4 linked regions of the Drosophila melanogaster genome follow. The protein of the gene in region 3 interacts with the protein of the main gene of each other region in a pairwise test. Each region holds a gene or a part of one and is shown on either strand. Other genes may lie near its edges. The genes, in order: CG17162, CG15043, Pect and Srp9.

Evidence for each region.
Region 1: the proteins of Pect (region 3) and CG17162 interact in a two-hybrid assay, tested with the Drosophila melanogaster proteins (one large-scale study listed by BioGRID).
Region 2: the proteins of Pect (region 3) and CG15043 interact in a two-hybrid assay, tested with the Drosophila melanogaster proteins (one large-scale study listed by BioGRID).
Region 4: the proteins of Pect (region 3) and Srp9 interact in a two-hybrid assay, tested with the Drosophila melanogaster proteins (one large-scale study listed by BioGRID).

What each region holds. Positions count from the first base shown.
Region 1 is NC_004354.4:23,091,792-23,099,699, reverse strand, and holds the start of CG17162 (uncharacterized protein), read left to right. Parts: upstream 1-2,965; 5' UTR 2,966-3,267; intron 3,268-6,090; exon of another isoform or gene 6,091-7,177; coding exon of another isoform or gene 7,178-7,485; exon of another isoform or gene 7,486-7,766; intron 7,767-7,879; exon of another isoform or gene 7,880-7,908. Other genes in the region: su(f) (suppressor of forked), read right to left, coding at 1-225, 291-482, 687-1,086, 1,145-1,420, 1,585-1,907, 1,969-2,004; CG17159 (uncharacterized protein), read left to right, coding at 7,178-7,485.
Region 2 is NC_004354.4:18,491,183-18,497,392, reverse strand, and holds CG15043 (uncharacterized protein), read left to right. Parts: upstream 1-3,224; 5' UTR 3,225-3,310; coding exon 3,311-3,545; intron 3,546-3,618; coding exon 3,619-3,875; 3' UTR 3,876-4,200; downstream 4,201-6,210. Other genes in the region: Pgant7 (polypeptide N-Acetylgalactosaminyltransferase 7), read left to right, coding at 1-984; CG15044 (uncharacterized protein), read left to right, coding at 5,502-5,984.
Region 3 is NT_033779.5:13,200,742-13,211,254, reverse strand, and holds Pect (phosphoethanolamine cytidylyltransferase), read right to left. Parts: upstream 7,494-10,513; 5' UTR 7,066-7,493; coding exon 6,983-7,065; intron 3,146-6,982; coding exon 2,895-3,145; intron 2,835-2,894; coding exon 2,768-2,834; intron 2,591-2,767; coding exon 2,478-2,590; intron 1,820-2,477; coding exon 1,656-1,819; intron 1,596-1,655; coding exon 1,410-1,595; intron 1,345-1,409; coding exon 1,027-1,344; 3' UTR 427-1,026; downstream 1-426. Other genes in the region: CG15482 (uncharacterized protein), read left to right, coding at 1-403; CG16972 (uncharacterized protein), read left to right, coding at 8,255-8,711, 8,847-10,513.
Region 4 is NT_037436.4:7,934,832-7,940,698, reverse strand, and holds Srp9 (signal recognition particle 9), read right to left. Parts: upstream 4,327-5,867; 5' UTR 4,225-4,326; coding exon 4,084-4,224; intron 4,019-4,083; coding exon 3,926-4,018; 3' UTR 3,441-3,925; downstream 1-3,440. Other genes in the region: syd (sunday driver), read left to right, coding at 5,220-5,321. UniProt on the Drosophila melanogaster protein: Component of the signal recognition particle (SRP) complex, a ribonucleoprotein complex that mediates the cotranslational targeting of secretory and membrane proteins to the endoplasmic reticulum (ER).

The sequences.
Region 1 (7,908 bases), on a different chromosome or scaffold from region 3:
AATGTAGCACATCACGTACTCTGGACTGCCACCAAAACGCTTCAATCCCAGCTCGAAGATGCGGAACGCAATTTCTTTGTCCTTGGAGCAATAATACTCCATTAAAGCAGCGGCCACGAAAATGTGATAGCGCGACCTTACGTCCTCCCGAGCTTTCTTAAATATGCTACGGGCCGACTTGATCCCCTCAGCACGACGGGCGAACTTCATGTACTGAACATAGACCTGGAGTATTAAATTTCGATGGTATCAAATATTTGATGAAACATATTCAATATGTGTGTTCCTACCAATGTGGGATCAATGTCTGGCAACTGTAACAGCTTGTTGTACATAGTGTGCACCTTCTCGTACTTGAGCCGTCCTTCTTCAAAGTCCGCATAGGCAAAATATAGCAACGCATTTCGGTTTAGCACGCCGTTTATAGACCGTTCCAGTATATTAGCACACTCGTCCGCAAAAATCTTGGCCGCCTGGACGTCCTGCAATGTTTTAATAAGTAATTAAACATGTAAATACACAAAAGTTCGACTTAGTTATAAGAGTAAAACGCGTGCGGCCTGGCCAGGGGCAACGGGGCAAGCCACGGAAAGCCATCTGTGTTGTGCCACTGCGTGCTCCTTTACCCGAGGGGCGACACTTCTTAGCAAACAAGAGACTATATTTGATTCGTTTTTGGTTTTGACCTTTGCCCACCACCAAGCAAAGGCCATAACCCACTCTATTTGATTCACTACAGGAACGCAGAGAATAGGTGAAATGTTTTCAACACTAGTACGCACGCCTTTTTCGGTGAGCACGCGAGCACTGGTGTCCAGGAATTGGGAGGCCTGGTGCCACACTGCCGGGTGGTGGGTGAGCACCAGCAAACATTGCTCCGTGGCGAACATGACACGACGGGTTACTAGGGCCGTATCTTCAGTGCGCAAGGGATTAGACTTCTCATACGTGATAAAGCGCTTCCACAGCTCCACTTGCTTCACCTCCTCTTTTGTGAGTGTGGGTGGGACGGCTGGCAGATTGCGATTGAGACCCTTTGTGTGGTATTCCAACTCTTTGGCAACACGACGAGCGTTCATGTAATCCCTGGTTTTAAGTTGGAATTTAGAAAGAACATTTAGCAAACTCTGCGTATAACACTCACTTAGATCGCTCCAGACTCATCTTCTCTGATATAATCGGGTTTATGTTTTGCTCGAATGCGATATAGTCCTTCCACAACTGCTCGATGCCCACGATAGGTGTGACTACAGCCTTTTGATAGACGCGGCGCACTGCTGTGATCTTTTGGTTCTCTGCATAGTTGCCCACTGCTTCAACGCCCCGCAGAAAGTATATGTAATCCTGCCAGATGCTGAACGAGTGTAGATCCATGCCGATTTTCTCCAGTGCAAAATCATAAGCCTGGGCCATTTTTTCTCTGAGAAAAGAGATAAGTCCAATAAAATAAGCGTGTCAGAATAACACAAATGTTGTGCATCAAAAAAAACAATATGCTCGCTGCATTGCAAGTTTTGACTAAAATTATAATAGTTTCTAAGATGTCAAATTATGTGAATTATTTAAATAAGGTATAACAGTTACTTGTGAGTACTTAGACCCGACTTGGTTTCCTTCACGTAGGTAAGATAGAGCTTCCAGAGGTCGATGTTCAAAATCTTGACTAGGCAGCGTTGAAAAAGTTTCTCCACGCGTTCATAGTACCGGCTGCGCATCTCCATCTCAATGTATAGCTTCCAGTACCGAGCGGTTGTCGGAAACACATTAACTAGCGACTCGTAAAGACTGCGTACTTCGTGGATTGGCCGCGTTTGGGCCTCTCGGATCATGACACTCCAGGACTCGATGTCATAGGGCCGCAGCTCCACCACTTGCTGAGCTCGCACCAGGCGCTCCATGCCCCATTCCTTGTCATCGATAAGTAAAAATATGTTGTTACCATCCAAATAAAGCCAATGTTTTACTTACTATGTCGACTTTGATAAGGTCTCTGGCCGAAGACATTGCTAATAGTCTTTGCAAATTGTCGTTGAGTCCTGCTTGCGCTGCTCCTTGGCCCGGGAAAGTTCCTTTCTTCCGTTGAACTTTCGCTACGCAATTACCTAAAGCAACGCTTGGATGCCGCTTTTCCGAATTCTTTTAGAAGTTGCAATGCGGCTGCTTAGATATCGACGACTGATTGGATGTAACTGCGATAGTGTCATCGCCAATCACATCGCGGGCCTTACCATTAAAATCCCAAGATTTGGGATGTGTAGTACAGCGGTCACTGATTATAAACTATAAATAAAAAAGATATATGGTTTTAACATACTTTAAAGGTACTAAATCTGTAAATAATGAATTCAAGCAGAAGCAATATTTTTTATAGCTTGTTTCCACTGAAACATTTTTCTGTACGTTGCTAAGGTGAAGGTTGTTAACAGATACTTTGAACCGTTTAAGTTCTATGTAATAGTAAGTAAAAGAGGTAATATTTAATAAAAAGGCATTTTTAGGAAGCCTGGAATTGTATGCCTAGTAGCGTAACTAGGTACGAATTTTTCCTGATTACCCTATAACATTATACATTAAAACAATATAACATAATATGAGGTAAAGGTATTCTTGGTATTGTGGTATTCGAACAAACATAACTATGAAAACACACGAAAACATTATAATTTAAGTCAATGGATTGTTCTTAAATGTTTTAGACACGAGTCCAAGTGATAACAAAATTCAACAAGGTTAACGGAACTTATTTTTTGCTATAAGAAATAGAAAGTGAAACGCACCTTTCTTCAGCAACTGTAGTGTTAAATTGTTTTAAGAATTTACTTACAGAGAAATGTTTTATTGAAATTTAATTTTTTCTTTTGTTGTTTCTTTTTCATGTTGAGGGTTCAACATTCCCACAATTTAACAGTTTAAGGAATACCCAGAATCTAACCCTAGAAATAGATTGGTATATTTATCGATATTAATTCAGTACCAGTATGCGGTCACATTGGGTAAGTGTCAAAAAAGTTTTAAAACAAACGCTAAACAATCAGGAGTGGCAATCAAACGAAACCAAGCGCATTTATTAGCCGAGAGATAATTCGAGTTAAATTCGCAACTAGTATTAGTATCATTCATTGAAACCGATTTATTAAACTGCCAAGGTAGACAAGACACACACACATGTGCGTGTTTCCGGAGAGCATCACAATCATTGCAGACCTAGAGGCCAACAGCTGTTGTTGATGTCCTAGCGGTATATTTACGGTTTATAGACTTCGACAAGTTAGTGAAATTATTACCGTTCCTGGGTCACTCTCCCTTACCTAATACCTCTGTGGGTGTGTGTGCTAAGGCGCAATAAGTGTGTCACACTGACGCGGTTTTGTGTTTCAAAGTAGAACAAACACTGTGTGTGTGTATCCCTCACATATGCATTAGCTTTGTCTCTGTTATATTGGCCAATGTTTATTCCTGCATACCAGAAATAAATAAACAAAGAAATCATTCTCTAAGCTGTGTTGCAAGCACAAAAAAAATTTTGTCTGCAACGATAAGTTTTTCCCTTGATACAAATATTTATATATCTTTTGAGCCATAGCGTTTTTTCATTCTGCAAAATTAGTTTTATTCAATGTGGTTTGTATTATGTGTTTTTGACTATCAAAACTATCAAAAAATCGTGTATTAAGGGGACTTTATACCGTAAAAATGTATGTTGTCTTACTAAAATATTTTTGTTATAAAAACTTAACTTTCAAAAGGGATTTAAAGCGAATGCAACAAAACTCATTCATGAAATATACCTTATTTTGTAGCTTATTTAATTCTTGTTTAGATAGTTGTAATTAAAAAGTGCATTCTTTGCGATTTTCGGAGAAATTATAGTTTTTAGGTCCTTACCCTACTTGTTCAAATGCAGAGTAATTTTAGCTAAAAGGGAGTTAAAAATGCCTGTTGGTGAATTGATTCATTAATTTGTTATTATGTTTGTGTTTACTTTTTTGTAAAATAATTCAATATGCAACCACTACCACGAAATCAGTTGTTCTTTGCTTGGACTAGAAAAAGCATACGAAATTAGGGAAATACCTATACAAAATTAGTTAATTAAATATAAGAGGCGGTGCCACGGCCACAATTTTTGGTATCATAAAAGATAATGGCAAAAAAATTTAAATATCTTTATCCGTTCTAGAGTTACAAACTACAACAAATATAAGGGGCGGTTTCAGAACGGATATATTGTAACCCAATCTGAATATCTTTCAACGTCCTGGAGTTATTCATTTTGGGCAGAAAAAGTGGTAAAATTTCACATAGTGGTACGTGGGCAAGTTTTGAAATATTCGCACACCCTAACGACGGCAAACCGCCCAAAAGGTTCACACCCACACTTTTGTGAAATGTTATAATTATTTTTCATTGCATTTTTTGATTTTTTGCTACTTTGTATCGCTTTGCCAAAATACCTCCACCATCTCATTCGAACGCCAACCAAATTTTTTAAATATGTTTAGACTTTTTTATTTGGTTATTATACCCGTTACTCGTAGAGTAACGTAGATTCGTTTAAAGGAATGTAACACGCAGAAGGAAGCGTTTCCGACTGTATAACGGATCAATAGCCGAGTCGATATAGCCATGTCCGTCTGTCCGTATGAACGTCGAGATCTCAGGAACTATAAAAGCTGGAAGGCGGAGATTTAGCATGCAGATTCTAGAGACAAAGACGCAGCGCAAGTTTGTTGATCCATGTTGCAACGCCCACAAGCCCACGAAAAAATGCCACAAGCACTCTTTTGAAAAATATATTGATATTTTTTCACATCTTTATTAGTCTTGTAAATTCCGATCGATGTGCAAAAAAAAACTGTTTGCCACACCCACTGTGACGCCCTTAAGCCGACAAACCGGTCACGCCCCACTTTTGAAAATTGTTGAAATTTTTTCTCATTTTATTCCCCAACATCTTTTGGTATCGCAGAAAAATATCTGGGTTAACGGGTATCTGATATTCAGGCAACTCGACTATAGCATTCTCTCTTGTTATTCTAAACAATTTTATGGATATGACAATCAAGTTTCAAAGTTTCTCCCTCGTTCTCCCCTTAGTTGAGTGGCGCTAGTGGAGAAAATCTATAGCGGTTCCTTTTGTTATTTTAACTTTTTTCCTAAACTAATTTTCCATAACAGAGATAAATTAGTTGGAAATTGTCAATATATTTCTAAATTAATTTGCTTTCTTTAAATATCAATTTATTTAATAGATAGAAAATTCATTTCGTCCTGTCTGTGTTACCAAAATATTTAGAACACTTAACAAAAATTCATATAACGTTCTGTTATATGAATTGCTGTTTGATTAACGAATGATTAAAACGTTTAAAACGTTACGTTTCGAAAATCAGAAAAAAGGAAAGAAATGCATACATTATCTTAACTTCAAAGCTTTTAAAGTTTTCGAGGTGACAGCCCCCTTACGGACAGACAGACTTTACCATATCAATTCGGCTAGTGATCCTAATCAGGAATATTGTACATATATATGTATATGTATACCGCATTAAAAGAGCATACAAAAAATTTCTGAATTCTACGACATCGAAATACAAAATACAAAGATAAAAAATACTTGTAGAGTAAAAGGGTATAGTTGATTCGTTGGAAAGTATGTAACAGGTAGAATAAAGCGTTTATAGCTTCAGTTTCAGGAACTATAAAAGCTAGAATGTTGAGATTAACCATTACCACTCTAACGCCCACAAACCGCCCAAAACTAAAAAAATTTGTTTCATGGTTTTATAAGTCTTGTACATATCTACCAATTCGCAAAAAAAAATTTTGGCACGCACACTCTACCGCCCACAAACCACCCAAAACTGTCACGCCTACATTGGAATAATTTTTAAATTAGTTTCCATTTTATTATTTTGGTTTCCAATTTCTGCCGATATTCTAAAAGACATATTGAAATATGTCGTTCCACCTGAGTAACGATAGCTGGGGAACTCGACTATCGCATTCTCTATTGTTTATAACTCATTTTATGGAAATTATAATGATAATCGTCATCAGAAATTTGTTCTGATTTTTTCCTGTTACCGTCGGTTAACTCAACTTGTTTTTGTTTGTTAGTTTATCGGGCCAAAAACCGATTCGTTCAAGCTACTTTTCAGCCATCTTGTATAACCGGTTATGATACGAATTTTCTTTATAATTATGTGGTGCATTTTTTTAAAATAATCCCTGGGACATCGTTAGATAGTGTCTTTCGACGGCTTGCGAGTTCTTGCTCCTAGATTGTATAACTCTGGACCTATCCAACAACTCTACTAACGATTTTTGACATAGTTCGTTCTGTCTCGTTTATTCTGTCTTGTTTATCGTGAGTCGAGATGTCCAAATTGGACAAAATTGGCTTGTAAAAGAGGTGTTGGTGTATGCAAAAGTTGGTGTTTGCAGTTACAATGGTTAACGACATGAACGTTAGTAATTTTTCTATCAAGGGTGGACCACGCCCACTAAGCCTAAGTGTGTTTGGATTGTTGGGTGTGGGTGTGGAAGTAAAAGAGGGCACTAAATGTGAGAGTAGATATAGTTGGCTGTGTTCGTCGGGATCTTTTCAATTTAATTTGTCTACCCTGAATTTTTTTTCACGGAGCAGTAATTTAGTGATTATCGTTTTTTTCAGTCGGGTCATTCGGGGGGAACCGTACTAAAGAGTCTACTTTGTTTACTGCAAAATTCATTATTATTAATGATATGATTAAAATGAAGTTTTTTATTTATAATCGAACACAATTTTTTGTGTACCAAAATTATTTTAGTGGTTATACATATTTAAATGATTTTTTTGAGGGTATTAATAGATACAGTTTAGCAACCCAACAATTCAGCCTTTCGTTACTTTTTCAACTCCAATCCGATGTCAAACAAACAAAAATAAATCGCGAGCTGACGTGATAACAAATAACCGCAAACTGCTGTTGCTAACAGAAATTGTATTATTCGGTTGTTCAATAAATGTTCAGTCAAATTCGGATACATTAGGCGAGGAGGAGAAGCCATCAATCAGTCAACCTACGCAGTTTACATTGTTGGATCCGACGAGCAAGTTGGCTTGAAGCGCGCTAAGCGGTCTAATATCCCGTCTGTTGGCTTGATGCCGTAAAATTTTCCAAGGGCCTGAGGCATGTGCTCCTCTGTCGGCCTGGTTGTGGAAGGCATTGCGCTGGGCAGTGGAAGCCAGTATTTTTCACGGATGACCATGAAAAGAGAGTACAATACAAAGTGTTTTTGGATGGATCGCTTTTGTCACGAAGTAGCTAACCACTATAGGGAGCAGCAGCAGCTTGGACCTGGATGTGTATCCCGAAATGCAAGCCATCGGCGACGAAAGAGGATACCCTCGGTGAAAAAATCTCGGGAGCCTGCATTATTAGCGTCAGGATATGCGCAGTTTCGCGATGTGTGGCCAACTCATGTGCACTACTTCCCCAGGTTTGGTGGGGTTTTAATTATATTATATATTAATTATAAATATAGCCAACTGAAAATTTACCCATATACATATAAACATTTAAAGGCCTTTTTGATAGTTACTACCAGACATGCCTCTGCATGTCTAACGTTAGTGATTTGGCTCAATATGTATCACAATCACACGTCTTCATTCCAGCTGATGGCAGGTTGTTTATGGTGTCAACACTTTAAGTCAATACCAATACCTTATAGCTTGTTTTAGCTGTTAAAAGATTTACTCCCCTGGAGGAACCCCTGCCCTAAAATTGATTATAAAAATGTTAATAAGTTCTGCAATGGCAAAAAAGCACACACAGAAACTCTAAAATAACATATTAAGCAAATCAAACAAAAATACCTCCTAAATACCTACCTAATGCGATAAATACAAGAGAGAACGTG
Region 2 (6,210 bases), on a different chromosome or scaffold from region 3:
GATGGCATTGACCACAAGAACTTTGAGTACCGGCCGGTTTATGGCACGGACAACCACTTCCGCGGCATCTTCGAATGGGGCATGCTGTACAAGGAGAACGAGGTGCCACGTCGCGAGCAGCGCCGCCGTGCTCACAACTCGGAACCCTATCGCAGTCCCACGCACGCCGGCGGCCTGTTCGCCATCAATAGGGAGTACTTCCTGGAGCTGGGCGCCTACGATCCGGGTCTGCTGGTCTGGGGCGGCGAGAACTTCGAATTGAGCTTCAAGATCTGGCAGTGTGGCGGCAGCATCGAGTGGGTGCCATGCTCTCGCGTGGGTCACGTCTATCGCGGCTTTATGCCCTACAATTTCGGCAAACTGGCTAGCAAGAAGAAGGGTCCATTGATCACGATCAACTACAAGCGCGTCATCGAGACGTGGTTCGACGACACGCACAAGGAGTACTTCTATACGCGCGAGCCGCTTGCCCGCTACCTGGACATGGGCGACATTAGCGAGCAACTGGCGCTGAAGAAGCGACTGAACTGCAAGAGCTTCCAGTGGTTCATGGACCACATCGCCTACGATGTGTACGACAAGTTCCCGGGTCTGCCGGCCAACCTGCACTGGGGCGAGCTGCGCTCGGTGGCCTCCGACGGATGCCTGGACTCGATGGGCCACCAGCCGCCGGCCATCATGGGCCTCACATACTGCCATGGAGGCGGAAATAATCAACTGGTTCGGCTCAATGCCGCTGGCCAGTTGGGCGTCGGCGAGCGCTGCGTGGAGGCCGATCGGCAGGGCATCAAACTGGCCGTGTGTCGTCTGGGGACAGTCGACGGTCCTTGGCAGTACAACGAGCACACGAAGCACCTGATGCATCGCGTCCACAAGAAATGCATGGCCCTGCATCCGGCCACGCAGCAATTGTCATTGGGTCACTGCGATGTTAACGATAGCTACCAGCAGTGGTGGTTCAAGGAGATACGCCCACGCTGGTAAGTCCAGCATGTTTGGGAGGAGCAGCAGGAGGAGGAGGATCAAGGAATGGATCACAAGGGTTTCAGCCGGGGCAACGGGGGCGATATTTTAGACAAAAGCAATTTAGTGAAAATGAGAAATGGAATTGTTGTTGGTTTTGTAACGCATATAAGTATTGATATACACACGAAAAACACAAGATATCACACACATCTGCATTTATGACGCGAACTGTATGTACATATGCACTGTCGGCACTTGGAAATCGCCTGGGCAACCGGGATTCAGACAAGGGCATTCAATGCTCGGCGAATAAATAAATCCACAAGGATATTATTAAATTATTAAAGCTTAAGAATTTCGATTTTGTAAAACAATGTCGTAAGGAATCGCGAACAATTGTATTTCCATGTAAGCATTAGAACAATTGCTTTTAGACCATATTTGTAGTGCATGAAGTGAATGCAATTTTCAAAATCGTGTGTGTGTGTTAGTAGTAGTCGTACTTGAAAACTGTTTTCCACTTTTGTCACGAAAGATCAAACTCCACAAAATGCACTTAGTGCAGAGCGTACGAAAATCATCACAATTAGCTGATAGTGAACCCATTCCCATTTCGATCGGCGAATCTCATACAATAGATATTCAATTGATATTTGGGAGGATCCAAGCCTGGGGGATTTCCGTGCCGACCTCGTGTGTGTGTGTCCTTGCGTATGAGTGAGAGAATGCGATGGGTATAGAGCGGAAGCGAATAAGAGCGAGATAGCGCGATGGCGGGATGGCGAGTCGAGTGCAATAGAGGATTTATGAAACGGGAACGGGACGCGATGACAGGGCCGCAGATTGTTTTGCTTTATGATTGCCAACTGAAAAAATGAATGTACTAACCTTAGTCTATACTCCTGCAAGTCCAACTAATCCTAGCTTAGTTTCAACGCTGCCACATTCCAATCTAATCCATTATAATCTATTCTAATTCCAATCCAATCCAATCCGAACCGAACCAATCGAGTCTGCAGCGAAGCTCGGCTCTCTTACTACTAATCCCATTATTTTTTTTTAAACTCTTGATTTTCGTAAAGCTCTCTGTACCAGGTAGTCGTAATCGTAATTGATCGTTGCAAGTGCTTCGGGAGTTTGATTTTTGAAAACAATATTTTACATTCATGTGTAACTTTAGAGTTATCGATAAGTCTGAATAATAGCATAGAAATAAAAACGTTTTCTAAACACTTTACCATGTAAGCCGAGCTGTTGAATGTTTAATATTGTGGGGAAGGGTCGATCCATTTATAAATCAATAGATATAATAAAGTTCCCATCTCAAGATGTGCTCACAATTTGAAACCTAAGTGCACAGAACAAGTTCGCATTTTTCGAAAGTTTTTAAAATTTCTTTTAATTTTATATTCTTTTGACGTAGGTGCACCATTAATGCCCCGCCAATTCTTTAAGTGTACGCATAGAATGGCGAGTAAATCCAATTTTAAGCAGATGATTCATAACTTATTGTTAAATCAAATCTACAATTATCGATGGCCGCGTTGATTGGGAGTGGTGATGATGGGTCGATTCGTCTCGAAGGTACTCGACGTCCCACTTCCAGGGAAGTCCACGGGCGATAAGATTCCGGGAAGTTCTTTCCTCCATCGCGGGTAGGGAAGTCTAAAAGCGCGAGGAAGGGGGAGGGAAGTCCAACAGGGGGACGCCAGCAGGTGTCAATCCTGGGGCAATAGATTGCGCCTAGAGTTAGTTTTTGGCTAATCAGGGCCTGAGGAAAAAAAAAAGATTGTTTGTTTACCGTCGGATAGGAAAGGTCGTACTCCCAAAGTGGGAGTCGTGGTCTTATCTTCCGCCCATTGGTACACCATCGCAGCTGCCGGCGGGGCGAAAGGGGGATGATTGGATCCGAGCGCAATAACACCGAAATTGTTCAATTTAATTGAGTGAAGTGGGAAGCTTCCTTATCAGCATTATTATGGTTACACTTCCGTGGGGTCGCTGCACTGTAAGGTGCTAGATATAAAAAAAAGCCCAATAACTCATTTATTTATCCTCTAAGCTCTAATTCAATACAAGAGTTTCATTTCTGAACGAGAAGTAGAGCAGTTCCAGCGTCGGTGTGACTCTTTTTCCGGTATTGGATTAGACATTGTCACTTGCCACTTGAAATTGGCAATGGGCCTGATAAGGGGGTACCTAATATGATTCAAAGAAAAACAGTGGGCGGTATAAATAGGTGGTTTCCAGACCTTGGCCATCATTCCGTGACTTCAACGTGCCGTGACTGGAGACCCTTAGTCCACACACTTCGTTTACCTCGAATTTCAATTCAACGCCCAAGATGTCCAAGTTTAGCCTCATCCTGTTGTCCGCCCTGCTGGGCTGTCTTGTGTCCGGTGGAGCGGCTGGAACAATACGTGTGGATACCACCGGCATCCAAGTGGTGGATAATATCCATGTCTTTGCCGCCCAATACCCGGGTCTGCAGATCCAGCAGATGGAGAAGGAAATTGTGCCGGCCAAGGCCCGCGTCGGAAGCCAGACCGTGCGCTACAACATGGGAGCCCGCATTCCGGGTAAGTTACCCAAAGCATACCCTACGTTTGACCGACCACCAATCACTGATCCCGCAATCTGGCATACTTTCAGGCGACGAACTGGTGGCCCAGACAGCCAACACTTACGAATTCCCACGGGCGCAAGATGTGAGCCTGCAGCTTACCTATCCGGAGAACGGCAAGGGTGCCACTGTATCCTACGTGGAGCTGCTCTGCACCCAGGACACCAACGAGGGCACCGCCTACGTGGTCGCCGGAGGCATCGGCCAGAGCTTGATCTCCATCGTGCTGGAGGCCAAGAACACCAAGAACTTCTCATACCAGGCTCTCTACTACGGAGTCAACTAGGAGGCATTTGCATTAGTTCCTCGCTAGCTTTATATATATATATATTTTTTTTTTTTTTTAAATGTGACTCCAATTTTAAATACATATGTATAATGGCAGACTAAAATGATTGCAGCACCTGCAATTATCTAGATTTACGTAATTAATTTCATTTCATTGATGGGATAAAGTTTATATGCTGTCATATGTTTAATCGTAAATATGCAATTAGATCATATATGTTTGTACTATCAGTCACTCTGTTAATTGAGTTATATGATAAATCAAATTCGGACCTGTTCCTCTAATTAAAAAATTTCATTTTTAACGAAGAATGTGTAGATCCAAAGATATACATGTACGTCTTTCACTGTGTACGATCGAATGTCGAATGTATTGCAAAGCTGAAAAGTCGGTAATGGTAGAGATCATATATCACCATCCCCAGGGTATTCGGTAATCTTGATCAATTTCAAATGGTTCGTTGCTCACGCGCCTTCCACTCGAAACCGATGATAGCCATTGCCATAAATCTGGGACAGCCACTCACCTGAATCCGCTGTGGATTCCGATTGCGGCTCCGTTTGGCATGGAAGGTGAAACCAAGGCGGCAAATCATCCAGGGATTTGTCTGCGAAAGAGTGAGACGCATGAAGTTTTTGTTCTACTGACGTTATTGAACTTTCCCCCTATCTGGCTGGATTTTTAGAAGGAATTCCCAACCGAATGAATCACGTTTTGGATGAGAACGAACAATGGCCAAACTCCCAAGACTTTGCGATTCAATTGGGTATTTATCATATAGCTGGGCATCTGAGTATCTGAGTATCTGTCTTCATTCAACTATTGGGGGGACTTTCTCTGGTGGTAAGTACGTCAGTCCAGAATCGATGTGGTATATATAGATATGTATGAATATAGTATCTATGACCATGTTGCGTAGACAGTCAATTGACTTTGTAGATACGGTTATTTGTTTATTAGATTGTTTGCCATTGTGCGCCATTATGCATATCAAGGCTAAGATTGTCGTGGAACAAATAAACAAACAAACACGCGCCATCACAGATCGTCATTCAACGGCGGAGGAAACATTTCCTTTATCCAGTAAGGTGGTGCTTCCTATCACTGGTTTTATTATTGGGTGGGTTGTCATAAAAAAAATAAAAATAAAAATCAACAACATACTATCTAGCCGCTTACTAATAGATTGAACTACGATAGCACATTAAGTTAATGCTTCTTGTACGCAGTCCGTCCAATCGTCCAATCAAATAACAAGTGTTCCCATCATATCCCATCATATGCCCATCCAATCCAATCCATTTCCCAGCGGTGTAAGCTCGAGTGTCCTATTTATAGGAACTGATCGCAGCATTATGGCCAATTAGTCGATGTGGTTTTATAAAGGCGTTTGCCGAAATTGCCACAGCCAATTCCCCCGGGGGCTTATCGTTCAGTTGTGTCGGGCCGTCTTATCGACGTAGTGACCGCCGATAAGGAAGCATGTATAAAAGCCGGAGGCGGTCGCCAGTACCAGCCAAAATTCAAAAAGCGTTCGAATAGTGCATCAGAAAAGGAGTCTACACACCCCTTATTCTTCCGATTATTTTGTTTCGTTCCCATTTTTTTTCTGGTGATCTGGTGATGTTAACAAAGATGTTCCTAGTGCTCTGCCTGGTGCTGGGCATCATGGCATCGGTATCCGGACAGCCACACGCCCGTGCCAGCGATCTCTACTATACGGACATAACGCCCGTGACCGACGAAACACGCTACACCACCCTCAATCCGGACGCACAGCTGAACGAGATGAACAAGGTGAAGCACTCGAAGGGCAACGTGGTCTTCACCGCGGGAAAGCGGGCATCGGGTGACCGACTCATTGTGAACCACTACGATGACGACAGCTTTCCCAGTGCCAAGGATGTGGAGGTGCTCATGAGCTATCCGGCCGGAGCCAGCACAGGGGTCACGCTGACGAGCATCGAGGTGTATGTGGACATGACGGCGGACGATGCCGGTGGCTATCTGACCAAGGGTGGCATCGGTCAGACCAACGTGGAGATTCTGCTGACCTCCAATCAGACGCGCAGCTTCGTCTACGAGACGTTCATCTATGGGTACTAGGACTGCTCGCCCAGAACTTTCAGCTACAATAAACGATTCGCTTGGAACCCAACTGTGATCATGAACTCCAGACCCTGCCCCTGTCCCTGCCCTTCCTGCCGAGAGTATTATTAGTCATAGACGTACATACATTAAAGAATCAAATTTCAAACGGACTACTGTGCACATCCTTTTACTTATCCGTACCATTGCAGAAATAAAGTGTTCCTTGTTGCTTGGCGCCCAA
Region 3 (10,513 bases):
GAAATGTCACCGAAACACCCATCTGCCAGTGGAGTACCGCCGCTTCTCGCAGCATAGCGCCCTTATGATCTTCGCCTGCCGCACCATGCACTCGGTGCTGTGGGAAAGGAAGCGTGTCAAACACGAAGTCCTGGCCATCTGGGTGGCTACTCCTTTGCACGGCGTGGCCATCACTCTGCGCCTGCTGGTCCAACCTGCCAACCTGCCACGTTACTACACCAGACAGATAAAAGCTCGTCCAATGCTGCCACTGTCGTCGAACCAATCCTGCAGTGAGTTCATCAAGACCGACAGCAACGTGATCCTCATCAGCTTGAATGACCTCCGGCCACTAATGGATTTAGATGTTTGGCAGCAATCGCTAACCGTCGAACTGAAAGTGATTAGCGAGGCAAGTATATAAAACTTCCGGTTTTTTTTTTTTTTGGAATTCGCAATATTTTTGGCCATGTATTTAAGTCTAAGATTAAACAAGGAAACATAAAACTTGAACTCGCACTTACTATATGCATTAATAAATTAGGACAAAGTATCAGAGATTACATTTGATAAAAGCAGCTACTTCCTGATCCAGGCATCCTACTTCCGTTGCTGAATATATATACATACAAGTCGTACAAGGCTTTTCAATTCGGCAACAGTTTGGATAACATGCTATTCGTACAATTTTGTTGTTCCTCACACTTACATCGTACTTTAAAGGGAATTTACAAATTTTGAGCTTACATACATAAAATTTAGATTTTAAATATTCTACGTTAATGTGTTAGAAATATATAATTATGTGTATAACCTTATATCATTAAGGCGCATGTGCAGATATTCTAAAATTGTACTAGAAATCGAGAGAGCGGTGCGCTGAATCCTCAGGCAGCGTCGCTTCGCTTTTTACGCAACAAAAAATTAAAGCGCCATCATCAGGGGACGACATACTAAACAAGACAAACTAAATAAAACAAACTAAAAGAACGCAACTAGAAAATAAAAAACATCCGTCTAGTGTGAGAGGTCGGAATCTGGTTCCGGCTAGCCGGCCTTTTGGGTCTGTTTTTGGCGTTGAAGTGCCTCAAAGGCTTCGATTTCCTTCTTTTCTTTGGCCTGATTGCGACGCTCATATTCCAGTCGGTGCGAGATGATGCGCTCCACGATGCGCTCCGTGGTCATCTCGTTGCCGGAATCGATCAGCTCAAAGATGGCTCGCGTCTTGGGAACGGCATATGGATCGATCTTGCCATTCTCAAGCGCAATGGGTGTGCGTCCATGACAGACAACATCGATTTTGAAGTGCTCAAGCAGCTCTTCAGTGACACAGTAGGGAGCTCCGATTACTACCTCATTGACAAACTGGGGGAAAAAAGAAGTTTTAAAATGAGATAATATTTAAAAAAAAGAATCTATTGCAATCCTACCTTGCAGGCCAAAACACTGAGCACGCGCTCGTGCAGATTCATAATGGGATAGTTGCTGCCCTTGTAGGAGTTCACCACGGGATCTGTGTGCAGGCCAACAATCAGATAGTCACCCAGTTTCTTAGCCTTTTCCAGAAAGTCCAGGTGACCCACATGGAAGAGATCGAAGGCGCCAGCCACATAAACCTGCAAATACCGACAATTATGAATTATACATTATATACATATAATGAGGGCTAAACTTACAATCTTATCGCCGGGATTCGGTGACTTTCCATCACTGAACTGTATGATCTTTTGGGTAGTCGGCAAGAACTGACTACAACCGGTCCACGGACTTTTGGCTGCCGAATCTTGACCCATGTTCGAAGAACCTGGATGGGATTTTATTTGTCGTTTTAAAATTGACACTTTTTTTGTTTGTTTTGTATTGTAAAGCAACGCAGACAAATGAGCAAAAGTGTGTATTTAAGAGCAAAAATTTACGTTTAGGATTTGATTTCGATTTGGATTCGGATTTGGATATTTTGATTGCAGGTTGGTCATTGGGCATTCGGCATTTGGATTCATTTCGCGGGCGCGCACACGCACAAAACATTTAGCATAGTTTTCATAGGTTTCATACATTATATTATATTTTTGATAGTGGTTAACAGTGCGTACATAGAAATAAAAAGAAGAGAAATAGTAAAGTTGTAGAGGGCAACCATAAACCAAGGCGTTATTTGCGTTCAACTATGGCAAATTAAAAAGAATCTATTGGGGAAAATGCATAAACTAATCGTGCGTAGCCCATGTATAAACTGAATATATCTGTATAATATTGTTCATACTTGTAACTGATTGATCGACTTTGATTTATGCACAGCATGCAAGAGCAATAAACAAGTTCGACAGCAGGAAATGAAAGACAAAAAGAGTGCAAACAAAAAGTAGTCTTAAAATTAAAGTTAGTAATGGTTAGAAACAATGAATTTGGCGCACAAATTCACAGTGCTCGCTGTGATTTAGGAACATTAAAATGAAAATAAAATGTGCCAGAAAAGCGTTGGAACAAGCTAAAGCTACCTTCTTTCTCGATATCATATTCCGCGGATCCTTGACGGAAGTGGTTGCGTGTCAGGAGCAACATGCGGCCCACAAGGTCAGTGGTCGAGACTCCAGCTGTGCGTTTCACTTCCCTGCGGATTGCATAAGAAAATTTAAGGTCAGTAATTGGAAAAATGTGCAGTACGTGCTTTACAAGACAACTGGCAGCTTATTAAAGGTTAAGGCAAGATGTACATAAGGTAAGTGTGTGTGCATTCCCTTTTTAATAAACTGCCACATGTCTTAAAAATATATCTTTTCAAACTCACTTGTAGCGATTGGCTGATTTGACCAAATGATATGTGTCCACTCCTTCGGCTGTCATTGTAATGTCATCTGCAAACAAATACACTCGATTGAGTAACATCCAGATATATGCATAAATTTGTTACCCACCTCCATGCACACAGAAATCACAGTTGTTCTGGTCGAGCACATCCAGTGTGGTCACATACGGAGCACCGAGCACCACCTCATCCACCCATTTGATGCCCTTGACCATCTTGACGCGCTCCTCCTCGGTGAAGACCGGTGGTCCCTTGTGCTTGGTGATCTCCTCGTCGGTGTGAATGCCCACAATTACCTTATCGCCAAGAGCCTTGGCTTGTCGCAGAGAATTGGCATGTCCGAAGTGTACCATATCATAGCTGTTGAGGATGGAAGGAGGATAGATATGTCAGTACAAGAATAGATACATTGTTTTTTTTTTTTTTTATCAAGCGCGTGCCAGTGAACAAGCAAACATGACCTTATTAGTTACCTCCGGAAATGTTGTCTGCCATTCGTGGAAGTTTAATAAATTCTAAGATAACTAAGACTGCAACGATTGCCGCGAGACCTTGACAAATAGCTAATGGAAACGATCTTGCCTCTACCAATATGACTCAGAAAATGGCATATATTTCATAAAATTAGCAATTTTTCAAGCTCGCAAGATAAGCCGTGTTTAACTTCGAGACTTGCCAAAAAAAAAAAAAAAAAAAAAAAACAATTATCGCATGGAATGTGCATACATACATACGTATAATGAACCTTAGGCCCAACAAAAAAAAACCACTTGTCTTGACGCTCAGCTGGAATCCTGGTCATTTAGTTAATGGTGGAAGCTAGGTCGAAGCAGTACTGCTAATGACCCCCAGACGATAAAGTAATAAAGTGGTTCGAGCAAGCCATTTACATAGTTTACATAAACCGCTGTCGAAGCGCGTCAAAGATGTCTGGTCGAGTGCTTTTAATGACCAGTAGCTGACGGACTGACCACCGGTGACTATAGAGGCGGTTTGTGTGCTCCACTTTTGCCCAGCATTGGTCAAGAGATTGATCTTTGGACTCGATCATCAGAGTGGGTATGCCAAAAATGCCGAGAGAGAGATGGATGAAGCAACCGGGACAGGGGATATCAATAAAACCGCATTTGCTGCTCGTTGTTTTGCAATTCTAATTGCAATTATGAACGCTGCTGCGTCAGCTTTTCAGTGGCCACATATACGCAAACATCGCCATTCAGCTTGTTTACATTCTCCGCCGATTCTAGGCATTATGGTTATAGGCACACGTGCCCTGGCCTGGTTTTTGTTTGGCTTGGGAAAGCGATAATAGCATCCGGGGGACGTGAGGCGTTGCACAAATTGCACTTAACACCAATTATGAAGGTATTTATTTTTTCCACCATAGGTACATTGTAATTGTAAGTATTTATAAAATAATTCATATTGAAACCTGCTCTTTTGGAAAATGATTCACCCAGCGGGCTTTGTGCAAACATTTTTTAACATAACATGCAAAAGGTAACCACTTAACTAAATGGCGGGTGATAAGAAATAATACCGTCACCATCGACGGTTTCTTCGGTAATCGATTGTGAGGAGTTCATTTGAAATAGATAGACGGAAAGTATTTTAAGTACTGCTTCCATTGAAGATTAGAGAATTCCCAAGAAAATAGTTGTACTCAAAACAAACTGGATCTTTAACTGAAATGAAATTTAAATGAAATGCAATGCCCCTGCATGCACGCCTAAAAATAAAAGATGGATTATGCCAGCTAGTCCCTTGACTTGCCCAGATAGTAACAAATGCGGAGAGATGACCACCACCATAAAAAGCAGCTAGTAAAAACGTGGGCCATTCATTAATCGAAGCGAAACCTTTGCTCCCGGAGATTTTTTTGCAGCGCACCAAGAAATCTGTGCCGAACATACTATACCCATATTAGCATTGTTGTACTCTATATGTAGAACAGACCCAGGGGCCGCTTAATCAATTGAGTGAGCTAAAAGCAGCGACAACACCAGCGACAGCAACGCCGACGCCCGTTTGCTGATTAAAAAATATCACGCGATTCTCCGTAGAATTTGTGCTCTGTCGTCCGGACCCCAGAGCCTAGTAAAGTGGATTGACTTGGTGGGGTAAAGTATGCCATATACATAGATCTTATACTACAGCACACATGTACATATATGCCCCGCCTTAAGGCCCCGGACTCTCTTATTACGAGAGCTTCCCATTCATTTGTTATTTCCACTGGCAGAGGTTCATTGACTTGGGTGGAAAGGAGGAGACAAGCCAAGCACTTGTGCCTGCGTCAATGATCAATCTCTGCTGATTAGAATGATTTTTGGGTCCAAGTGCCCCACATACATACGTGCTTTCCCCATCTGATGGGTTATCAGATTCCATCAGATTCCACGCAAATATTATGTTTATACTTGTTGTTCGTGCCCATGAGCAGCTGATGTGGAATTTCAGCGATTGGAGCACGACTACGTAGGTCGTTCTTATCTGTCGCAGCTAGAGGACTTCCACACTGGTGACAGGGAGCTGTGACCCGTTGACAATGGACATAAGGGAGCATAGACTGCCAAAATTACCCGGAAATGCCAATGAGCATGATGTATATGTTTTAGGTTTAAATCCATAAATTAGGTGACATTTTCTAATCTTGCTTCAGGGCATTCGCAATTGGATTCTAAAAGTTTTGCCATATGTATGTTTTTGCTTAGGCAGAAGTATACTATAAGATTGAACCACCTCTTAATAATAAATGGATATGGTTTAAAAAACCCTTTTAAAATAAAGACGATCCCTTGCGATTATTTAGTCAGTACAGGAGAGGCCCAGCGAAATGCCAATTAAATTGGGCACACAAAAGACCGCCAGACGATGACGACAGCATTGTGGGTCAATGGCGAGGCAATGGCAATGATGGTGGTGCAAAAGGGGTGTGGGGTCCATCGCCGAGGCGGAGGGCATGCGCATGCCAGAATCACGTGATGTTTGCGGACGGACGACCGGCGGGCAGCCACAGTCAACAAGGGCCACGTAAACGCAGCCCTCATCCGAAAATCTGAAGCCTCAAAAACAGAAGAGCGGAAGGAAAGGCAGGCTGTTCAGATACAGTGGGTTAGCCAGAGCACATGTATATGGCACATATATGTATGTACATTTGCTTGTTGGGCGTGTGCCATTGTTTATACGGTGAGTAGAAATACAAGGAAATAAGAGAAAGAGCGAGGGCGCATATAAACAATGGGTATATTTTTATTTTTACCGACTGGCGGTAGCCACAATTGAGGAAATTTCTATCGTCCCCCAATGAAGCAAACTTGTTATGGTAGGCCATCTATCCATCCGTCCATATCGCAGTCTAACGCGTCATTACCGATAAAGATAAACCGGTTTCTGATGATGCATTGCACGGAATCAAATAATTATATATATATATATATATGGGGGAACGCAATGCCTATAGAACCATTTGATGGTGCCCAAAACAAGGCAAAGTGCGTCAATAGTATCTATATGCGGATCTAAAATACATAGATGCATTAGATGAACCGAACACCCGGTTTATCACATATAGCAATTAATTATTGTGCAAACTAATTTGGGATATATGTATTGTTGTTAGCTTAAGCGCCATAAAGAGTGCGAGTATCGCCGGAAAAGGCAAATTAAACATTTTCTCTGAGTAATCTGTTTTAGAATAGCCACTGTAAGCGTACAATTATAAATAGATTGCATAGCGTATAAATATAAATATAATGCCAAATGTCCCGGTCAAGCGTGGAGAATATGGACATTTCGGATCCGAGAGACCTTGAACCTGAATTATGTAGACATTTCAGCCGGACGACGGCAATGGGTGGATATTTGGAACGGGCAGCGAGACGGCACCGTTTCACAAAGATTTGCTAATCAATTGAGGAACCCTGGACGCTTCTTAGCACGCCTAAAAATGGGGTTTAGTTTATCGTCGACTGATTACGGTTATTGGTATTGGAAACCAAATTGGAATTGAAATAGTAGGGTTCGGTTGGCCGTGGTGTGGCATGGAATCGATGGCACCGACGCGGAATGGTTATGCTTTGACTCACTTTACCGTTAGCGGTGAGTAACGACGTGACGCAATGGGCTGCCCTAAGAACCGTTAGACATTGTGGACCGAATTCCTGGAGGCCCCTAAATGTAATGTAGATGACTCACCATCCATCGCACCAGACGCGCACATCCTTCCGCTGCTTGTCCGAATACCCATTGCAGGCGCTGGTATCGCCATTTGCCTCCATCGTTGACTTATTGAATTTTCACAATTTAATTTAATTTTAATTTAGAATCCGGCTAACGGGCGAACATTAGATTCCGGAGAGTATGTTTCTGTTTTCAGTGCTCGTTTTGAAGGCGGAAACTCGACGACAGCGACGTTCACGCTTCGAGAGCTGTAAGTTATTTGTTCTGAGCTACGACGACGCCCGCTATATATCAATTCCCATTTCACGACCGAGCTACTCAGTTCAGTTTTCGTTATCGGTTTCGGACTCGGATTCACGTTCAGACTCGGAGCGGAATTGGTCTCAGATTCTCAGACTTGCGTTATCAGCGCGCGGGCGCATGGGAACTTCTTTGGGGCGTAAGTGCGGTGTGTTTAGCTTGGGTTTTTTTTTAGATTCTTTCATTTCTTTTCTCACAATTTCGAGTACCGTGAGAGCAGAGTGGCCGCATCGGTGTTTGTCCAAATATACCATATGCCTGGTGCGATGAATACCAGCTAACGCGGATTTTGTAAACATCAACAGCTGATCGAGATATATTGGGAATAACTTTAAATTGGCAAATTTTATGTTACTAAGCTAGAACTTTTATATTAAGCAAGTACAAATCTGTATTATTATACGTTAAAAGGGTATTAACTCTATTAAATCCTTATGAGTCGATCACCCCAATGAAATGTATAATATTTTAGGATATAACAAAGTGTTTTGTTTATAAATAAATGTAAATATTGTCACAACAATTATTAAAAAAAAAGTGTCATAGAATTAAACAACGAACACTACTAATAACATTCACAATTAAAATTTTTTTTTTCATTTTAAAGGTATATTTTATTGATTGATCCCACTGTAAAAATAATACCGATGGTATTTTAAGAGGCATATTGGCCATGGCGATGTGAGATAATACTACGGTGTTTCCCACGGTCACACAGGATAAAGCAACTTAAAATATTAAGCCTATCAAATAAGAAATATACAACGCACAGCACGCAGATATACGAAAAATAACAATCGAAGGAAACCGACCAAGCCATGATAATGTAATCATGATCGTCCACAGTCAGTTCGGGCATTGTTTTGTAGACAGCATCAAGTATATTTTTTAAATTTCACGTGCTAAATTTACAAGAAATCCTACCACAATTACTAAACGAGTCGACGAGGGCTAGATAATCCCAATCCCATTCCCCGTACCAACGCGATGTCCAGAAGAGAAGCCAGCCTGATGGCCTACGTAGCGGCGGAGGAACACCTACTGAACCGGTACTCGCCGCTGGAAGGCGACGAGATAGATACGGCCAGCGAAGCTCCAGGCGACGCATCGGACGTGGCTGAGGATCGGGAGTATCCCACGGATCTTGTTGCATCTGTCACCAGATCCTCGAGGACGGGAGCAGATCTGGACCCCGCCGTGGACAGCAACCTGCACGTGATCTCCGACGACTCGGACACCCACAGCTTTATCTCGAGTGGCAGCGGCTTCAAGGGCTGGCCGGAGGAGCAGCCGTCTTCCAGTTTCGTCCCTCAGAATGAACCCTTAATATTCGGACTTCGCCGGCAAATGATGATGACCGAAGAGACACACCAAGCCCCAGTATGGGCCACCTGCACACCGGCAAAACGTTCGTACAGCAGCCACGAGGTCATCGAGATCAACGGTTTGTTAATCTGTTCCATTAACTATACAAGGAAATCTCTTCCATTTAATTGATTATGAACATTTATCCCAATTGAAAATATGAAATATCTAATATGGTAAACTCACTCAATCGCATACTTTTCTTGTTTTTTAGACTCACCCGAATCTGTCCAGGATCCGGGCATTGCACTAAGCCCCGGCATGCTGCTGACAAATGGCAATGTTGACCAGTTCGAAATGCTGTCCCACGAGAATGATGAGGCTGAACATGAACTTCAGGTGGCCGAAGAAGGGGAGCAGTGTGTGATCTATGAGGCTGTGGATGGAGAGAACATGGTCGTTTTAGGAGAAGAACACTGCTGTGAGATCATAGTAGCTACCCAGGGAGTGGCATGCGAGCAGGAGTTCGCCAGGGCCATCATGATGGCCGGAAACGGTACCGGTGCATTGCTGGGCTTGCTGTCCGAGGAGAGTGATGCGAATGAGTGTCTCAATGGGACTGCCTACATCGAGGAGGTCGTGGAGGATATGGGTGTGGCCGAGGCACGATTGGCGGCTGGAAACAATGTGTACCTTAGTGATGCAGCGCTAGAACAGCCTTTAGTGCACCAGGATCTGGTCGACGACGAGGCTCCGGAGGAAAACGAAAACGCCACATTCTTAGACGATACACCGATGGAGGAGGAACGCCCAGATATTTGTCAGGTGTATGATCACGAACTGGAGGACCACGACGATGAAGAATGCGAGGACGCAGTCATCCAGGAAGAACCAGCCCAGCCTATCGACATTGTAGCATTCGAGGGACAGGAGCCGCTGCCAAATAATCCGCAAAGAAAGTTGCTTCGCGAACACAGCAGTCCCACGGAATTTCCCGTCAGCTCATCCTCCATGCCCAACGCCAGTGACCACTACGACTATGAGGATGAGTTAACGGGCGGCCGCTCTCCATCCAAAGTGGCTCCACTGAAGCGAAAGTATCCGCCGCTGATGAAGAATACGCTCCATGGAGAGGCTATGGATCGAAGACTGGCAAGCATTTGTCAGGCTCAGCCGCAGATGAGTCCCGCCGAGAAAGTCTCCAACTGGGAAACGGCACCCAGGGAAGAGTGGGCCGATGTCGAGGATGTGGAAGGCTTTGAAGCTGCCTTCAAGCAATATGAGGCTGTTACCGCATCACTCAAACAGCTTAACTTTGCCGAATTCCGTGAAGCACTGGTCCGGAATATGGAGAAGATCAGCCGTGAAATCATGCAAACCTCAGACGAATCCACTCAAGAGCTTGCCAGCTCTCAGTCGGCGGAACGGCCGGTGTATCGTCGCTATTTGCACATTCTGCCCACCGAGGAGACAATTGTGCTAGATGATGATGACGACGATTGCTACGAGGTGGTCGGCATGGAAAAAGCCTCTGTCACCACATTGATACCCGAAGAGGAGCTACAGGATAATCAACAGCCGGAGGAAGAAGAGATAGTGCTGCCAGTTGTTGATGACATAAAGAACACGGATTCACCGAATTTCGAGCAGCGGAACCTTACCAAGGAAACATCTACAGCAGACTTGGAGAGAAGCGCGCTTACTCAAACGGCGGGTTCATCCGCTGCGAATTTAGACGCATCCTTATCCCATGCTCAACCTTGTCCAACTGCTCCGGCAGGACTTACTGATTTTATGCAGGCGAACTTAAGCGACCGTGGGCCATCAGAAGACCAACAACTAACCAAAGCTGTATTAGATGTTATGCGTCAGCAGGTGCAAACAATGCAACAGCAACAGCAGTTTATGGAGCAAAAGATGAACCAACAACCACAGATGTAT
Region 4 (5,867 bases), on a different chromosome or scaffold from region 3:
TTTGAAATCGCCCTCTCGCACCTTTGCTACAATATATGTTTGATTTGTGCACCCCGATAAGTTGGAATCGTGTGATGATATTGTTAGTATGTGGTTGTTAAGGAGAGGCCCATGACAAATCTCCGGGTGCCAAAAACTTGAGTGTCCAATTGCTTCCGTATCTGAACGAAACTCATATTTTTTTTCATCGATTCCGGGACATTGCGAAATTTCTGGCTAACTCCTTGTGATTCAATTATAATGAAAGTGATATAATTTGAGCACTTCGTTTCTAATAGACATGCTGTCACCTCTTCAATTTGATTGTGGCCTTTTGATGATTATGATATATTCCGAATTGACGTAGGTTCAGTTCTTCCGGTTCGGACAACTCATGTTTTTATGCCACCTACAGATACATTTAACTGGAAAACTTTGTTATATTGATAATGAAATCATGGGTGTAATTATGAATTGTTTGCGTGTAATAATCATGAATCAAAAGTTCTATGAGTGTGTCAAGCTAAAATGAAAAATTACTTGCAATTTATGGCCCAACTTCCTTAATGAGCAAGAAAAAGTGATTCAATTATTTATTAAGTAGAAAGTAGAGTGTATTTTTTGCAATTCGTTTTTTTTTTTGTGTTTATTTTTTATCAAAGCTAACATACCTTTTTAGAAGGGTATGCCAAGCAAAATGGAGTTCAATCGACTGGGCAAGAGTAAGCGGCTTCTTTTGGAGTCGTTCAAAGCGATTTCCCTTCACCTGCAACACCTTCAAAGCCTCCATTGGCACTGCCCAGGTGAACATAACTCACCACTTGATTTATGCAAATAAGCCACGTTTAATTATGACCATTAGCCACTGTTGAGCGGCTACCGTTTTGAGTCAATAGATTGGCCCAAGGGGGCGGAAAAGGGGTGGCAAGTAGCTTTTAGTCGGTTTGCGTTTCAATTTCGCTTTGTTGTGAACAAACCCCTGCCCCTCCGGTGGGGAATGGGGAAAAGGGGGAGATGGTAGAGCATGGGGGGCTGTGAGACAATGATACCTGCCATTAATGAGTTTTTTATTGACACAAGCTATTGACCGAGTTATAAGACGAAGCGGCTGAAATGTGTGACTAATATCAAAGGGAATTCGCGGGCTAAATCTATTTAATCCATTAAAATGGGAAAAACAATAATAATATAGATATCCTATAGATAAAGATAGATATAGATATAGATAACCAAAAGAACATTTACGTACATACTTTTAAGTATGGTCATAATGCATGATGCTTCCAAAAAGCAGGCTATACAAACTTTCCTGATGTAGAAATGAGGAGTAGTTATCATTATGATATATAACTTTAGATCAAAATCCTCACCTCGAAGAGGCATCCATATCTATATAGCTTTACTTCTAGTCTTTGAGCAAATCCTCAACATGCGCTGGTTTTAGATTGTGCAACAAATCGGTGGTCTTAATTTATAACTAATTGTCATATGACCAACTAGTTATGGCAATCAATTGGACTTAGTTATATGGCCGTGCCGGTCCGATACCATATAAAACCATACATACATATATTATATATTAAATCAGAGGGATTGCCATGTCGTTCTGACCATGGCGATACAGTCAACTGTGGTCCGTCTAATTGCATGCTAACTGTACTTAAATATCTTTATAATTGACGCCACAGTGGGTGTCGTAAAAAGCACGTACCGCCATGGTCCGCGTAATACTAGTAGGTCTATTTGAGAAGGCCTTACCGCCCGGAGACATCGACATCCCCAATCAGACCCGCAACCCCCGCTGAGTCGACCCCACATCCCAACCACCCGCAATAAAAAGGTATTTATGTTATTTGTCAAGTTTATCGCAACAGTTTGAGAAGGGCGAGCGGCCAAGAATCGCTGGGGCCTAATTAAACCATGGGCTTTATCGTCTTGTAAAGATCGAAATTATTGCCACCGTACCCGCTGCTATGCTTCCAGTTTACGACCCCCATTTTCCAACACCAGTAGCAGCCCCCCCAACAATCGACCATCTATATAAAATATATGTTTTTTCAACGCATATGTGTACATATATGTATGTACTGGGTATATATGAAAGCGTTACAGATTGCTCGTTGTGGTTTCTGTCTTTTGATTTGTTGATTTTGATAACTGCAACTTGTGGGGCTGCCTATAAAATTTATGGGGCTTTTATTGCACTCGCAAGCCCCTTAGAAGGATTGGAAATGGAGATCTATATATAGGCACTATAATATTAGAACACCGTTAACATAATTCTATTATTAAGCTTAAAAAGGGATATTCATATTTTTAAATCGAACATTATAATAATACCATATCAAGTCCCACCCCAACTAAATGTATACCCTTTCTCCAGCTTTTTAAAAAGTCGAAGACGAGCTGCCTAAAGTGATTGTGATTGCAATGCAATGCACTGGGCAAACAAATCCAAACAAAAAATCGAGTAAAGCCCAATGCGGGGCAAACACAAACATCCGATGGGTTGGGCAGAGGATCGCCAGCGATCTCCGCCAGCCAATGTCATCATCTGCGTCTCCTTCAAACAGAAGCCAAATGAGCTTGTCGTGGAGCTATGCATATTGCTGCCGGAAACTGACGGTTTCTTCAATCGAATGACCAGAATGGCCAAGTGAGATGGAGTCCGCTTGAGCTGCAACTGTAGGGTTGGTGGAGGGCTGATCAAAAGGTCCGCTCGAGCGGATCTCTGTGGGTCAAGCAAACGCTTCGACTTAATCCAAGGTGGCTACTGAGTTGCCTCCCGTTCAACAGGTATGTATGTAGATAGATCCCACCTCAAACGGAGTGCATTCTGCATTCTCAGCAAACACTTGTGGACTACCGATCGTCCAGTGTCCCAATGTCCGAGTGTCCAATTGTCCAATCCAGTGGCCAGCGGTTCCAGTCGTTCCATCAATCTTTTGCGGCGGGCTGCTGTCAATCTCCTGCGGCAAATAAACTCGAGTGCCTCTCGCAGGCAAATAACCAATATTTGCTCTCGGATTATTAAGTGAGCCAGCATCCCATTCCGCTGTCCATTTCCAGTTCCCATCGGTGGTTCTTCGGTTCCTCCTCCTGCTTTCAGGTGGCTTGTTAACTGTTTGCTCGGGCTGTTTAATCGCTTTAATGGTTAGGCAATTAAGAGTTCTTCGGAAAACGTCTCCGAATGCCAACTACTCCCTCTTCTTGTGCTGGAAATATTAATAAATTCTTTTGATATGCTCCGAAAGAAATTACATCCATTTCAGGTAACATGAGTAATACTTAGAACGAATAAAATATTCTTTTATGTGAAAAATATGGCAGGTTTGGTTGCATTACCTATTGGAAACTTAATTTTGGAATAGATTGATTGATCTAGATATATATAAAATGGGGTTTTTAAACCAAATTAATGATAAAAACACCAAAAGATTGATTAGTCTCGTTGCATTTTTCAGTTCTCCCTTGATTTATTTCATGCTAATCGTTTCATGGAAATGTGTTGAAAGACCGATTGACTCTTACGATAAATACAAAACCGTATGGTTAACATTATGAAAAACATTTTGCACCGCCGCCGCTGCCTGCAGATGGGGATTTGGACCACCAGAAGAGAAGTAATGATGATGATGATTCCATCCGCAGTTCATTCGCAACGTGTACAGAGCAGACATTTATAAAATGTCGTTTAAAAGCAGGCTAAATGCAGCAGCTACTCTGATCGCCACATTCGAATGTCAAAAACTCGGCGGCTTTTTTGGTGCTTAAAAACTAAATTCAATGCGGGTGTTGATGGCACACACACAAGCACACACCTGCTCCGGCGAAGCAACAACAACATTCGTGGCCGATTCATATGCTCATGCATGTGCTATGATCTTTGTTGTTGTTCCTGGGCAGAAGTGTCGCCGTGGCCAAAAAGTTTCTGTTTTTCTGCGTTCTATTCCTTGGACGCCATGTGTCCCACCAAGTTGCTGGTGATCTTCTCGATTTTTCTGAGATCCGGCATGTTCTCCGCTTTGTACTGCACACACTGTGGTTTAATGAAGTAAAAATTTAAAAATGTGTTTTGCACTGATAATGGAATTGGGTGCAAACCTTAACGTTGTCCGTCATTTTTAGCAGAATGTGGCCCTTGGAGTGCGCGTATTTCATGGTAAGTCGACAGTTCTGTGGATTGGCCAAGTACATGTTCTCGACGGCAATCTCGAAATCATCCCAGTTCTTTACAAAAACCATTTTTTATTTAAACAAATGGAAATCCAGGCGAAATTATTAAAAACAACAACAGCAACTGGACGGCGTGACGTTGAAGCTATCGAAAAAATACCAAACCAACAAGCCAAAACTATTCGATAACGAATAGCTCAACAGCTGAACACCCCATTGTGAATGTCTTAGTATTTTTCAAATATTTGCTGACGGTTTTTCAAACAAGGGCCTTTCTAAATTTAAACTTTACATAAATCGAAAATATTAGAAATAAATATAATTAATTTTAGTAAGTTACGGTGTAATAATTTGCTAAACATTACTTAAGTGCGACCGTAAAACACCTAGTTAAAAATACCACTTCGCCAATGCAAGGTGATCGGTATTTTCAGGGTAACACGTTCACACCCACCCACACATCGTAGCTGCGCTGCAAAGTGTTTCAATATTTATTGCAAAAATGGTGTGAAAAACCACTGATTCGCTTAAATTTAGTGCTCAATCGTAAGCAACGGATGGCCGCGAAGGCGTCGGCAGTGAAATTCGCGAGTAACATTGCTGAAAATACATCGAAAAGCAAACGCGAAAAACGATGAAATCTAGTCAATCAAATATTGTGAATGGATGTGAAAGAGAAGAAAGAGGGGCGCAAAACGAAAACGCAAATAATAAGTGACACGCAGAAGCCAGCTAAAGTGCAGTTTATTTAAATATACTAGAGATCTGTTCAAAATATAAATATAATCTCACAAATCATCAAAAAGTCAAGTGTCTGTGTGTGGTGTGTGCGTGTGTGTGGGAGTCTCTCTCTCTTTTTCTCCCTCTTTTCTTCCCCATCTACCGTGTTGTTATTCTGGTGGGGTTGAAAAGCCATTGCCTGCATAACGGTTAACGCGTGACGTACGACCCATCAACAGCAGTCAAGTGCAGCACCCTACCGCCCCTCGCCCTTCCTAAAGAGTAGAGAGCACACCTCCTTTATAAATAAAGAGATCCTCCGATCCACCCAAACACCATTCATCATGATGGACAACGATGATGCACTGCTCAACAATGGAGGACCACAGTCCGGAGCTGAAACTGTCTACGGTACCGAGGACAACAACATGGTCATGTCGGAGAAGGTAATAGTCCATCCACAAAAGCCCTCTTTCATCTTGTCCCACTGAGAAGTAACCAGATCACTCGGAATGGGAATAGTCTTAAGTTTCAATAGCAGTCCATTGATAGTTTATAGCCAGGAAAATTCACTGTGATACCATTGACTAATTTATACTATTCACTGAATCATACGGGCGTTTCTGATTCTCCCTTAAATTTGATAACGCACAATAAGTAGGTTTAATCTGTTCTGGTTCTCTGCTCCTTACCATCCACATTCAGACCCACTCGTATCGTACAAGTAACACAAACACGAGATAATGAGGCTATAAAAGTGTTCCAAGCGGAAATACAATCGCAGAAATATGCTTTCTTTGCACATCATTCTTGCTCTCTTCGTATCTCTTTCTTGTTTATATACCCTTAATTATGTAAAAACGCAGCCAACAATTGTTTATTATGCATCAGCTGACGTCTGTGGTCATTGACATTAAAGCTGGCGAAAAATAGTAGCCAAAAATGGGTAGAAAAAGAGAGTTAGAGAGCAAAAGAAGGGTAAGAAGCCGGGG